Linked DNA regions of Macaca mulatta. The protein of the gene in region 2 interacts with the protein of the main gene of each other region in a biochemical or structural test. Links are inferred from orthologs where the notes say so. Each region holds a gene or a part of one and is shown on either strand. Other genes may lie near its edges.

Evidence for each region. The genes of interacting proteins can lie anywhere in the genome.
Region 1: the proteins of RC3H2 (region 2) and KLHL6 form a complex in vitro, tested with the Homo sapiens proteins (2 studies listed by BioGRID, with this or other methods). The link is inferred for Macaca mulatta from reciprocal best matches to the Homo sapiens genes RC3H2 and KLHL6.

Annotation. Positions count from the first base shown.
Region 1 is NC_133407.1:95,624,075-95,629,101, reverse strand, and holds the end of KLHL6 (kelch-like protein 6), read left to right. Parts: intron 1-1,063; coding exon 1,064-1,277; intron 1,278-1,541; coding exon 1,542-1,843; 3' UTR 1,844-2,751; downstream 2,752-5,027. UniProt on the Homo sapiens protein: Involved in B-lymphocyte antigen receptor signaling and germinal center formation.
Region 2 is NC_133420.1:24,902,030-24,908,061, reverse strand, and holds part of RC3H2 (roquin-2), read right to left. Parts: intron 3,990-6,032; coding exon 3,789-3,989; intron 3,519-3,788; exon of another isoform or gene 3,408-3,518; intron 3,322-3,407; coding exon 3,189-3,321; intron 3,069-3,188; coding exon 2,950-3,068; intron 801-2,949; coding exon 688-800; intron 1-687. UniProt on the Homo sapiens protein: Post-transcriptional repressor of mRNAs containing a conserved stem loop motif, called constitutive decay element (CDE), which is often located in the 3'-UTR, as in HMGXB3, ICOS, IER3, NFKBID, NFKBIZ, PPP1R10, TNF and in many more mRNAs.

The DNA.
Region 1 (5,027 bases), on a different chromosome or scaffold from region 2:
CTCAGATGCCTTGTCTCCTATTCTCCGCACTGGACACATGCGGATCACTTTACTATACCGTTTATGAACCCAGAGTGATTTGGTCGTGTTAGAAGTCATCCCTTCTTTATTTTCCCATTGATGATGAGCCACTTGCAGCCCTGCATGTCAGACTTATCAATGCAACCTCAGGTGTATATCAGACTCAGGAAAAGAAAAGCCACCTCATCTCATTTCCAAGTTATTCCCAATTTCAAATTTTCTTTTTCCTTATCAGATCAGATGTCCAAGCATGTTCCAGCTTAATGGAGTGTACAACACAGTCATTGTAGGCACAAGCAAAGGTTGCCAGGTCAACACATCTAGCCAAGACTGTCAGCCTGAAAAGTGCTATATTGAGAGCCCTTAACATTTATGGGGAGCATACCTAAGATCTTCTCAAAACAAGCCCAATCACAGAGCTGCTCCATGATCTAAAAGGATCCTGCAAATAAATGGGCAAGAGGCTCTTGGAAGTCTCCTTTAGTGTCCTGGGGTTCATAGGGTAGAAGCACACATCTGACTTAATCTCAAAATCCTCAGTGCTACCCTATAATGGAAGAGTCTGCTTACCTGTGGCCACCTCAAACCCGTATACCAGCTTTTCTTCCTAGATATAAGCACCAAGGAAAATCAATGCTGGTACATAGTAGGCACTCCATAGATATTTTTTGAGTGGATGAGCACATGAACGTATATGAATATGCATGTATAAAACATCATTTTCCTCCAACACTGGCTGATTTCATCTGTATAAACTTATTCTTACCTATACTCCTCCTTCCCTGAGAGCTGGATTCTGGGAGAGTCTGGCATATCCCAACACACAGCTTGCTCTAGCTTGCGTGGAGCCTGGAGGGAGGGTGAGAAATGCATGCTTTCATTCTTGCTGTGTCTTCAGAGGATTCAAGCCTACAGGCCTTGTGACTTTAGGCAAAAGATGCCCAGTTCTGTGTCCCGGAGCTCTGTCCTGTATCCTGGGAGTTACTGCAGCAATCTGGGCAGCATGACTGACAGCTTCTTCTTGTGCCCTGTGCCTCTACAGGCTGCACCCCTCCTTGTCCATGTCAGTTCCTTTGCAGCCACCAGCCATAAGAAGAAGCTCTATGTGATTGGAGGAGGGCCCAATGGGAAACTGGCCACAGACAAGACTCAGTGTTATGACCCTTCCACCAACAAGTGGAGTTTGAAGGCGGCCATGCCGGTGGAGGCCAAATGCATCAATGCAGTGAGTTTCCGGGACCGCATCTATGTCGTTGGTGAGTAATGGCTTCTTATTGATCTGAATGGCTTAGAATCTGATTAGCGCTTGGCCGCAGCACGTCAAGGGTGTGTCGCGGTGCTCCACTGCTGGCAACTCACTGCCCCTAGGACCCACTCTGGCTTTCAGAAGAGCCGTCAATCGACTGTTTCTCTTGGCAAGAGGGTAGACTTGGCCTAACCAGAAATTGAATTTTAGTGGTTAAGAGGGAAGAACCCAGAAAAATGGAGCGATGCCCACCGAGTTTCCTCCCTCTCTTCAGGTGGGGCCATGAGGGCGCTGTATGCCTACAGCCCCCTGGAAGACAGCTGGTGCCTGGTGACCCAGCTCAGCCACGAGCGGGCCAGCTGCGGTATCGCACCCTGCAACAACCGGCTCTACATCACCGGCGGGCGGGACGAGAAGAACGAGGTTATCGCCACGGTGCTGTGCTGGGACCCCGAGGCCCAGAAACTGACAGAGGAGTGTGTCCTGCCCCGGGGCGTGTCGCACCACGGCAGTGTCACCATCAGGAAGTCCTACACGCACATCCGCAGGATCGTGCCTGGAGCAGTGTCTGTCTGACAGCAGGATGGGGAGCTGGAGAGCCCCCCAGATCCTCAGCGTGCCTGCCTCACCTCTCACCCTCCTCCAGCCCCACTTCAGGCTGCAGGCTCGAGTTTGAGGCCATGCATCAGGGGATCCCCTTGACTCACTTTGGGAGAACCTTGGAAGTCACAGTTTGGGGTCACTTGAGACTGGCCAGGAATGTTTGCATGACCTACCTCAGGAGGGGAGGTGAGGAAGAGTAATATTTAGTATTCAGGACCCACCCACCCTATGCCGGCTTCTGTGCCAGGCACTTCCTTGTATGGGTTCATTTAACCTGGTGAGTGGCTCTTATCACTTCTAGTTTACAGGTGAGGGAACAGAGTTTCACAGAGGCTAAGTGGCATGCCCCTGATCACTCAGATAGCAAGTAGCTACCCCAGGAGTCTAAAACCCAGGTCTTTCAGCTCCGAAGTCAATGCTCCTTCCACCACGCTGCCTATCTCAGGCAGGAAAAACAAGCAAAAAACCAAAAACAAAACCTGGCTCATGCCAGGCGTGGTGGCTCACGCCTGTAATCCCACACTATGGGAGGCCAAGGCGGGTGGATGACCTGAGGTCAGGAGTTCGAGACCAGCCTGGCCAACATGGTGAGACCCCCCGTCTCTACTGAAAATACAAAATTAGCCTGGCGCAGTGGCAGGCGCCTGTAATTCCAGCTACTCAGGAGGCTGAGGCAGGAGGATCACCTGAACTTGGGAGGTGGAGGTTGCAGTGAGCCGAGATCGTGACACTGCACTGCAGCCCAGGCAACAAAAGTGAAACTCTATCTCAAAAACAAAAACAAAAACAAAGACAAAAAAACTTGGCTCACTTCTTGTTTCGGCAAGTCTGCTAAAAGATTCACTCAGCACGGCAGGGAAATAAAGGTGTTTCCTGTTTTCTTTCCTTTTCTTTTTTATTCTGCATCCTCCCTCATCCCCACCCTTTACCAAAATTTAAACCAAGGAGTCATTTGGGCTCCTTGCCAAGAATATCTCATAGGTTCTTCCACTTGAAAGGTCTGGGGGATGGGTTTGGGAAGGCCTGTTTGCTTTGAAAGAGATGAAAGATGAAATACTTGTGTTCTGTCTTTTTTTTTTTTGAGATGAAGTCGCCCAGGCTGGAGTGCAATGGCATGATCTTGGCTCACTACAACCTCTGTCGCCCTGGTTCAAGTGATTCTCCTGCCTCAGCCTCCTGAGTAGCTGGGATTACAGGCACCTGCCACCACACCCAGCTAATTTTTGTAGTTTTAGTAGAGACGGGGTTTCACCATCTTGGCCAAGCTGGTCTTGAACGCCTGACCTTGTGATCCGCCCTCCTCGGCCTCCCAAAGTGCGGGGATTACAGGCGTGAGCCATGGAACCGGCCTTTTTTTTTTTTTAAATGATCATAAGATGGCCCATTTTGGACCAGAACTGTCATTGCCAGACAGAATTGTACCTTTAGCACAGTCTGGTGCCCTGGCCTCTTAGTGTTCATCAGTTGTACTACAATTTAGAAAAGATGTTTCTAGAGACTTAAACTACTGTTTTATTTTAAAAAGTAAACACCTGAACACAGCTGGCCTCCACAGGAACAACAGATTATCCTTGATGGTACACTTTCTAGTTTTTGGACAGTGATTTAGGTCCACCTTCCTGATACCCCATCCTCCTGAAGCCTTCGTTTTCAGGACTTTTAAAAAGCACTTCTAGTTGTTTTTTTGATCAGTGTAGCTCAATTGTGACTTAAAGAACAGAATCTGTCCTTCACTGTAAGAGCTAGAGCTTTCAAATGAGCTCACTGGAAATTCATTGTAATCCCCAAGCTGGAGAAACAGGTTAAGAGATCCTGTTTCATACGCTGTATTTAAAAAGCAACAATGATAACAACATAGTAACTGCATTACCCAATGGACTTTATTTTCATCATATGATTTCAATTCTCTTTATAGAGTTTTATTTCATGTCCAGTGTGGCTTGTTCTTCTCAGCCGTTTGGGAAGTTAGAGTTATTAGAGTTGACAGTGAACTTAATTTTCATTAAACAGTCATGGTTAGAAGAAGCTAATATTTGAAACAGATTGCAAAAACTTGAAAAATTACAGGTGAGATTTCTGTTTGTGCCAGATTATTGAAGATAAATATAAATGTATGTTGGTGTGTGAAAGGCTCTGTGCCTTAGAGGCATGACAGTTCAGCTCTCTGCTGTGGAAAGTAACACAGGCCAATAGAAGCATATTTGTGGAATTTTAGAACAAACTATGGCTGACTCATGAGCACTATAATAACCATCAGGAAGCTCCCAACTGAAACAATGTAACAATGTAATCTAGTTCAATTCAGCAAACATTCATGGAGTGCTTCATGTCTGCCAAGCCTTGAGGACACCCATGAATGGCAAATCTCCACGCTGGACACTCGATATGGGTAAATAGGCCACCAGTTAATACTTTTGTTTTTCTTTTCTTCAAGTTAGCTAAAAATGAGATGTATATGAAGTGATGAGGCTGGATCCAAGTCTTGATTGCCTTTCAGGGGGTCATGGTGGTAAGCTGTGCAGTAAAGTCAACCAGTGGCCATTGCTTACATGTTTGTCTTTTCAAGGAGCAGATGGTGGTCCTTTGATAAGACCCATTGGCAAACTTCGTGCCCATCAGCAGGTCAACCCTATGCTGGGAAAGTGAGGATTTGGGATTTCTGTGCTATAAACCTGATTCTAAATGTAGGACCCAAGTTTCTGGACTACATCAGAACACCTAAATGAATCATGGAAGCACTCTTTATGATTTTTTACAACACCAGATATGCAGGTGAATTGTGGAAAATTTCATGTAGCTGACACTCAGGAAATGGGGAGTCGTAATAATGACATGGGGTAGGGAACAGATACACCCTGTTAGAAGATTGAGGGTTCTGTATTTGAAGCTGCCAGTCTGTAGCTCTTTGAGAAAGAAAGTTCAAGTCATTTGGGGTAAACTTAAGTATAGTCATCAGGATTTTAGCTTCTAGCCACTAGCCAGGGATGAGAGCTTCTAAAATCTAAAATTCATTCTAAGAAATAAAGACAAACACATTTGCAGGAAGGTAACTGTTATAACCCACACAATCAGTAGGGGGAAAACCAAGCCGAGAATTAACCCAGGGACAACCCTCGGACTCAGGCAGGACATGGCAGGATGTTCTGGCTCAGCAGAC
Region 2 (6,032 bases):
AAGAGGTTACCCACAGGAGAAGAGAAAGAATACACAGGAAAAAAGAATGTTAAAAAGACCAAAAGTCATAAAAAAGATATATATCTGTTTTACCATTTTGCCTGAGACTTTGCTGCTAGGTTTAACTGAATCTGAGCAAATAAGACTGCAAGTATTTTCATTCTCCACAGGTGCTCAGTAGAAATATGGATTCCAGCTATAAAATGGTCTCAAAATATATAAAATGGTCTCATTGAGTGAGGGTCTAAATGCACGTATGTTAATCTGGTACCCAGATCTTACATGCTTTGTTTTGTTTTGTTTTGAGGCGAGTCTTGCTGTGTCCCTCAGGCTGGAGTGCAGTGGTGTGAACAACTTACTGCAGCCTTGACCTCTGGGGTTCAAGCAATTCTTCCACCTCAGCCTTTTGAGCAGCTGGGACCACAACTGTGGGCCACACAGCTAATTTTAAAATTTTTCTGTAGAGACGGGGGTCTCCTTATCTTGCCCAGGCTGGTCTCAAACTCCTGAGCACAAGCAATCCTCCTGCCTCAGCCCCTCAAAGTGCTGGGAATACAGGCATGAGCTATGATGCCCAGCCCCCTTAACTTGCATTTTTGAAAGTCATCACCAACTTCAGGACTGTATATAACACTCCCATAAAAATAAAAAATTAAACCCATATAAAAGAGAATTCTCGACACTTACTTTTCAAGCTCTTCCTGAGAATGGGCAAATGTACAATTTGTTCCTCGTGGACAACCCCCTTGCTGTCGCAGATCTCGGCACATGCTAGTCTTGTATTTGCTGTTTGGCTGAGGCTACAAAAATGGAACACATTCAATGAGTGGCAAAGTGAAGATTCCATTTGTAATTCACTCTAGGAAGTTCAGAACTTTATAATTACACCTTTAATTCTTTTTCACATTAGACAAGTAATTCTTGTGCTGAAACAACTAATATTCCATTGTTTCCTGTTGTGAGTTATGTGACATAACCCTGAGTTGGCACTTTAGATATTCCTTCTGAAGATTATTTGAAACTGGCTCAAATGTTATTATGTCCATTTATTCATTAGTTAACAGAATGCCCAGAAAAAGACAATATTTTTTCATCAATTTATTGCTGTCTTAAAATTCTGCTACCAAAATCAAACAATTTTAAAAAGCATTTAAAAAAGCTGAAAGCTTTGTGTACTTAAACTTTCTCAGAAAAGGTAGAATACAATTCCCTCAAAAGTGAAAAATTACCAATTCACTTGTCAACTTGAGGGTACAACTCTCAGGCTTAAACTATCTGAGTTCACACAATGCGGCAGAATATTAAAATTTCACTATGACTTCTACAATTTGCATCAAAATCTAAGATATTCTTATGGGCCTAAGATGAAAACATTTGCTTTTCAGTCAACATTTTAAGTTATAATGTCTCCTAAGAATGAGGAAAGAAGAGTACAAAGTATGGGTTTGATCCCAGCTCTTACTGACAGCACAATCTTTTTTATTTATTTTTATTTTTATTTTTGAGACGGAGTCTGGCTCTGCTGCCCAGGCTGGAGTGCAGTGGCGCCATCTCGGCTCACTACAAGCTCCACTTCATGGGTTCACGCCATTCTCCCTGCCTCAGCCCCCAAGGAGCTGGGACTACAGGTGCCTGCCACCACGCCTGGCTAATTTGTATTTGTAGTAGAGATGGGGTTTCACTGTGTTAGCCAGGATGGTCTCGATCTCCTGACTTCGTGATCTGTCCCCCTTGGCCTCCCAAAGTGCTGAGATTATAGGCATGAGACACTGCACCCACCCCCTGACAGCACAATCTTATATTATTTAACCTCTTTGAATTTCAGCTTGGATATAGCAACTACATTGCAGGTGACTGTGAGGATAAGAAATAATATATGTAAAACATTGAATGTAGTGAATGGCTCATAATAACTTAATAAACAGAAGTTATTAGTATAAAGGATTATATCTTAACTTCTTTTTATTTTATTTTATATTTTTGGAGACAAGAGTCACTCTATTGCCCAGGCTGGAGTGCAGTGGCGCTATCTCGGCTCACTGTAGCCTCTATCTCCCGGGTTCAAGCGATTCTCCTGACTCAGCCTTCTGAGTAGCTGGGATTACAGGTGTCCATCACCATGCCAGGCTAATTTTTGTATTTTTTATTTTTTTTTTAGTAGAGACGGGGTTTCACCATGTTGGCCAGGCTGGTCTCGAACTTCTGACCTCAAGTGATCTGCTCACCTCGACCTCCCAAAGTGCTGGGATTACAGGCGTGAGCCACTGTGTCTGGCCAGGATTATATCTCAATTTCTAAAGTACATTGAAAATTACCTTGAAAATTCAAATTTCAGCTGAGCACGGTGGCTCACGCCTGTAATCCCAGCACTTTGGGAGGTCGAGGTGGGCAGATCACCTGAGGTCAGGAGTTTGAGACCAGCCTGGCCAACATGGTAAAACCCTATCTCTACAAAAAATACAAAAATTAGCAGGGCATGGTGGCGCTTGCCTGTAATCCCAGCTACTTGGGAGGCTGAGGCAGGAGAATTACTTGAACTCAGGAGGCAGAGGTTGCAGTGAGCTGAGATAGCATCACTGCACTCCAGCCTGGGCAACAGAGTGAGGCTTTGTCTCAAAAAAAGAAAAGAAAAAAGAAAATTCGAATTCCATAAATGACAATTTCCCACGGTAGAAAAGAAGTAGATAAAACGTTTGGAATCAATTATCTACATTTGGTCAAAAAAATTCTGTAATGAAGTATACTCACATCTAAGATACCCTCAAAACTCTTGCTGTGCTATAAAATGTTACCAAGTACATTAAAAACTGGGTTTCTCCCAAAAGAACAGAGATGGTAAAAACTTATGAGTCACATACTGAGTCCAATTAACAAAACAGCTTGTTAAGATGTTCAGGATGAAACTGAGTTAGAGATAATAGCAGTCAGAAATGTAATAAATATACTTACCTGAGGGGTCTCATGGCCTTTTCTACTATAATTTTGTATGAAGTCCACAAGGCCATGAACTACTGTTTTAACAGCTACCATTGCATTTTCTAGCTGCTCCCAAGTTGGTGAAACAGCATCTAAAATAAGCCACCAAGGGCATGGGGGTTGGGAGGGGAAGAATGTTAGCAGTAATTCTCTTGTATTATTCACCTCGAAAGTAGAAAAAAATATAAGCAACTGAGCATGTTCCCACATACCTGGATTAGGGTCTATGTTTGCAAGAAGCTCTAAATGAGGTCTCAGTCTATTTAAGTTAGCTGGGTCACCTGTTCGTTGCAAAACAATTGTCAATTCCTGGACACTCTTTGCAAATGACTCTGGAGACTGTAGCTAACAAACAGAAATGAGAATGCTTTTTACTTTGGTTCTCATGACACATTTATATTCAAATACTTTCAATTTTCAACACATTTAATAGGTTTTCAAGTGTCTTCAGATTCCATAGTAGGACTATCAGTGATGAATTAAATTTTCACCTCAGAATCTGCCCTATGAAATTCATCATTAGACACTTAGAAAACTTATAAGCTGTATTAACTCTCTGAGGTCAGAATATAGATAAGCTTGAAATTTTGTAAGCCTCACTGCTTTTATGCTAGTATCATGTATTTGTTTCCCTGTTGCATCCCTTTATTTTGCAAGTAGAAAAATAAAAAGAAAATAAGGATAATTTATAAGAGTCTGACATTTAAAAACACAGGAATCTCCAACTGTTTGTGTATAGACTCTTTAGAATATTCTATTACTCTTCAACGTAACAGCAATGGTAGAACATCAGCATCTCTAATTTCACAAACCTTATCAATGATAGACTGCATGTGTGATTTATGAGCCAAATCACCATACAAAAGAGAGGACCACTGTTCAGGTGAAATACGGAGTCCTGCTTCCATAGCAATATGAACAATTTGGGCATCATGTTCCCTGCGTAACGCTTCATAACTCCGAAATTCTTCCTTCAGCTGCATTAAGGAAGAGTCTTCATCTCTTTTGGTAACCTAAGAAATAGAAAAGAGAAAAAGAAACTCATCAGAATTGGTCTGTGCTTTCTCCCTTCAACTGATTCGTTTATTCTTTTTTCACGGAGGCTGGGGGATACTTACATATCAGACACCAAACAAATAAGGTACATAGATAAGATAATGTCCTGACCACAAATTCTTTCTGGAACAGAACAGAACTTACATAACTAAATACATAATCCCTGCCTTCAATGATTTCAGCCACTGTTAAGAAAGAGAAACTTGTAAGTAGAAAATTACAGTAAAAGTGCTATTATAAGGCTTGATGGCAACAAAGAGGAAAAGGAATTAAATTAGCGAGAAGAACGGGATTTCAGAAAAGGCTTCTCCCAGCTGAAAGCTACATGAATTGATTTGTGTACAATAAATATGAGTTTCCTGAGCAAAGAAAGGTGAGGAGGCCGGGGTGGTGGCTCATGCCTGTAATCCCAGCACTTTGAGAGGCCGAGGTGGGCGGGTCACTTGAAGTCAGGAGTTTGAGACCAGCCTGGTCAACGTGATGAAACCCCATCTCAAATAAAAATACAAAAATTAGTCTGGCGTGGTGGTGTGAGGCAACTGTAATCCCACCTACTCGGGAGGCAGAGGTTGCAGTGAGCTAAGATAGCACCATAGCACTCTAGCCTGAGGGACAGAGTGAGACTCCGTCTCAAAAAAAAAAAAAAAAAAAAAAAAACGAAAAAAAAAGGGGGAGAAATAGAATTTTTAAAAGAGCAGCAAGTGGTGAAACAGAAACATGAAAAAGCAGAACACATAGGGTTAAGGTATGATACAGGCTAGAGAATAATAATAGAAGGCATTATATACTACGGTAGGAAATTTGGATATTATCATGAAGGGAATGTGAACCCACTGATTTTTTTGGAGGGGTGGGGATGGGGAGGACAGGGGATGGGGGGGACAGGGTCTCACTTTGTCACCCAGGTTGGAGTGCAGTGGCACGATCTAGGCTTGCTGTAGCCTTGACTTTCTGGGCTCGAGCAATCTTCTCGCTTTGGCCTCCCAAAGTGCTGGGATTACAGGTATAAACCACTGTACAGGGCTGATTTAGGATTTTTAAGCAGAGAAGTGACATGATCAGATTTATGTTTTAAAAAACATCACTTTGGTAACAGGAGAGGATAAAGATAGACAAGCAAGGAATCCAGCTAATAGGTACACATATATTAGCACTACCACATGATAATTAAGAAATTTTCTTGGGAGGCTGAGGCAGGAGGATGGCCTGCGCCCAGGAGTTCAAGGCTGCAGTGAATTATGATGGCACCACTGCACTCCAGCCTAAGCAACAGAGCGAAAGTCCGTCACTTAAAAGAAGAAATTTTCTGCTACCCCAGAAATTATCATCAGGGTATATAGCTTTAACCTCTACTTAAGTAGTAAAAAACTATACATTAAAAAGTTAAAGAGTTTTATAGGGCCTAATGAAGTGTGTAGAACTAGAGATTAATTTCAATAGTTGCCCTAAGAGCATGAAACTAAACACTATGACTATGAGGCAGATAGTGTCCAAGTCTCATTAGTGGAGTTAAATGAATTAATCCCAACACATTTCTATTACCAATTACCTGTTATCTCAAACTAAGCGGTCTGCCAAGAAAACAGTTTTCTGTCTGTACTATTTTCACTCTTGGGAGCTATAAAACCAACAAAATAACCTAAATAAGCTTTGGTTTCAAATTTAAATGTTTTACTTTCATAGAAGCCAATAGGCCTTTCTACTTCCAAGTACATGAGACATTCTCAAGACCCAGGCAGCAACCTACACTCTTGGATCATAAAAACACTTTAAGGATTCAGCTTGCTTTCAGTATCTGTTACTACCTGCTAGCCTATTAGACAATGAAACTACATTTTAAAATATATTGGGGTTCTTCCCTACCCTTTCCACTAAACAAAAAACAACATCTAAAAGCAGAGTGGACCAATCTCCTCAACCTTCCATTTCCTTGTTGTATGTGAGATAACATGTAGGCCATTTTCAGATTAAAGGTATTAATCTAATCACTACAGAGAATG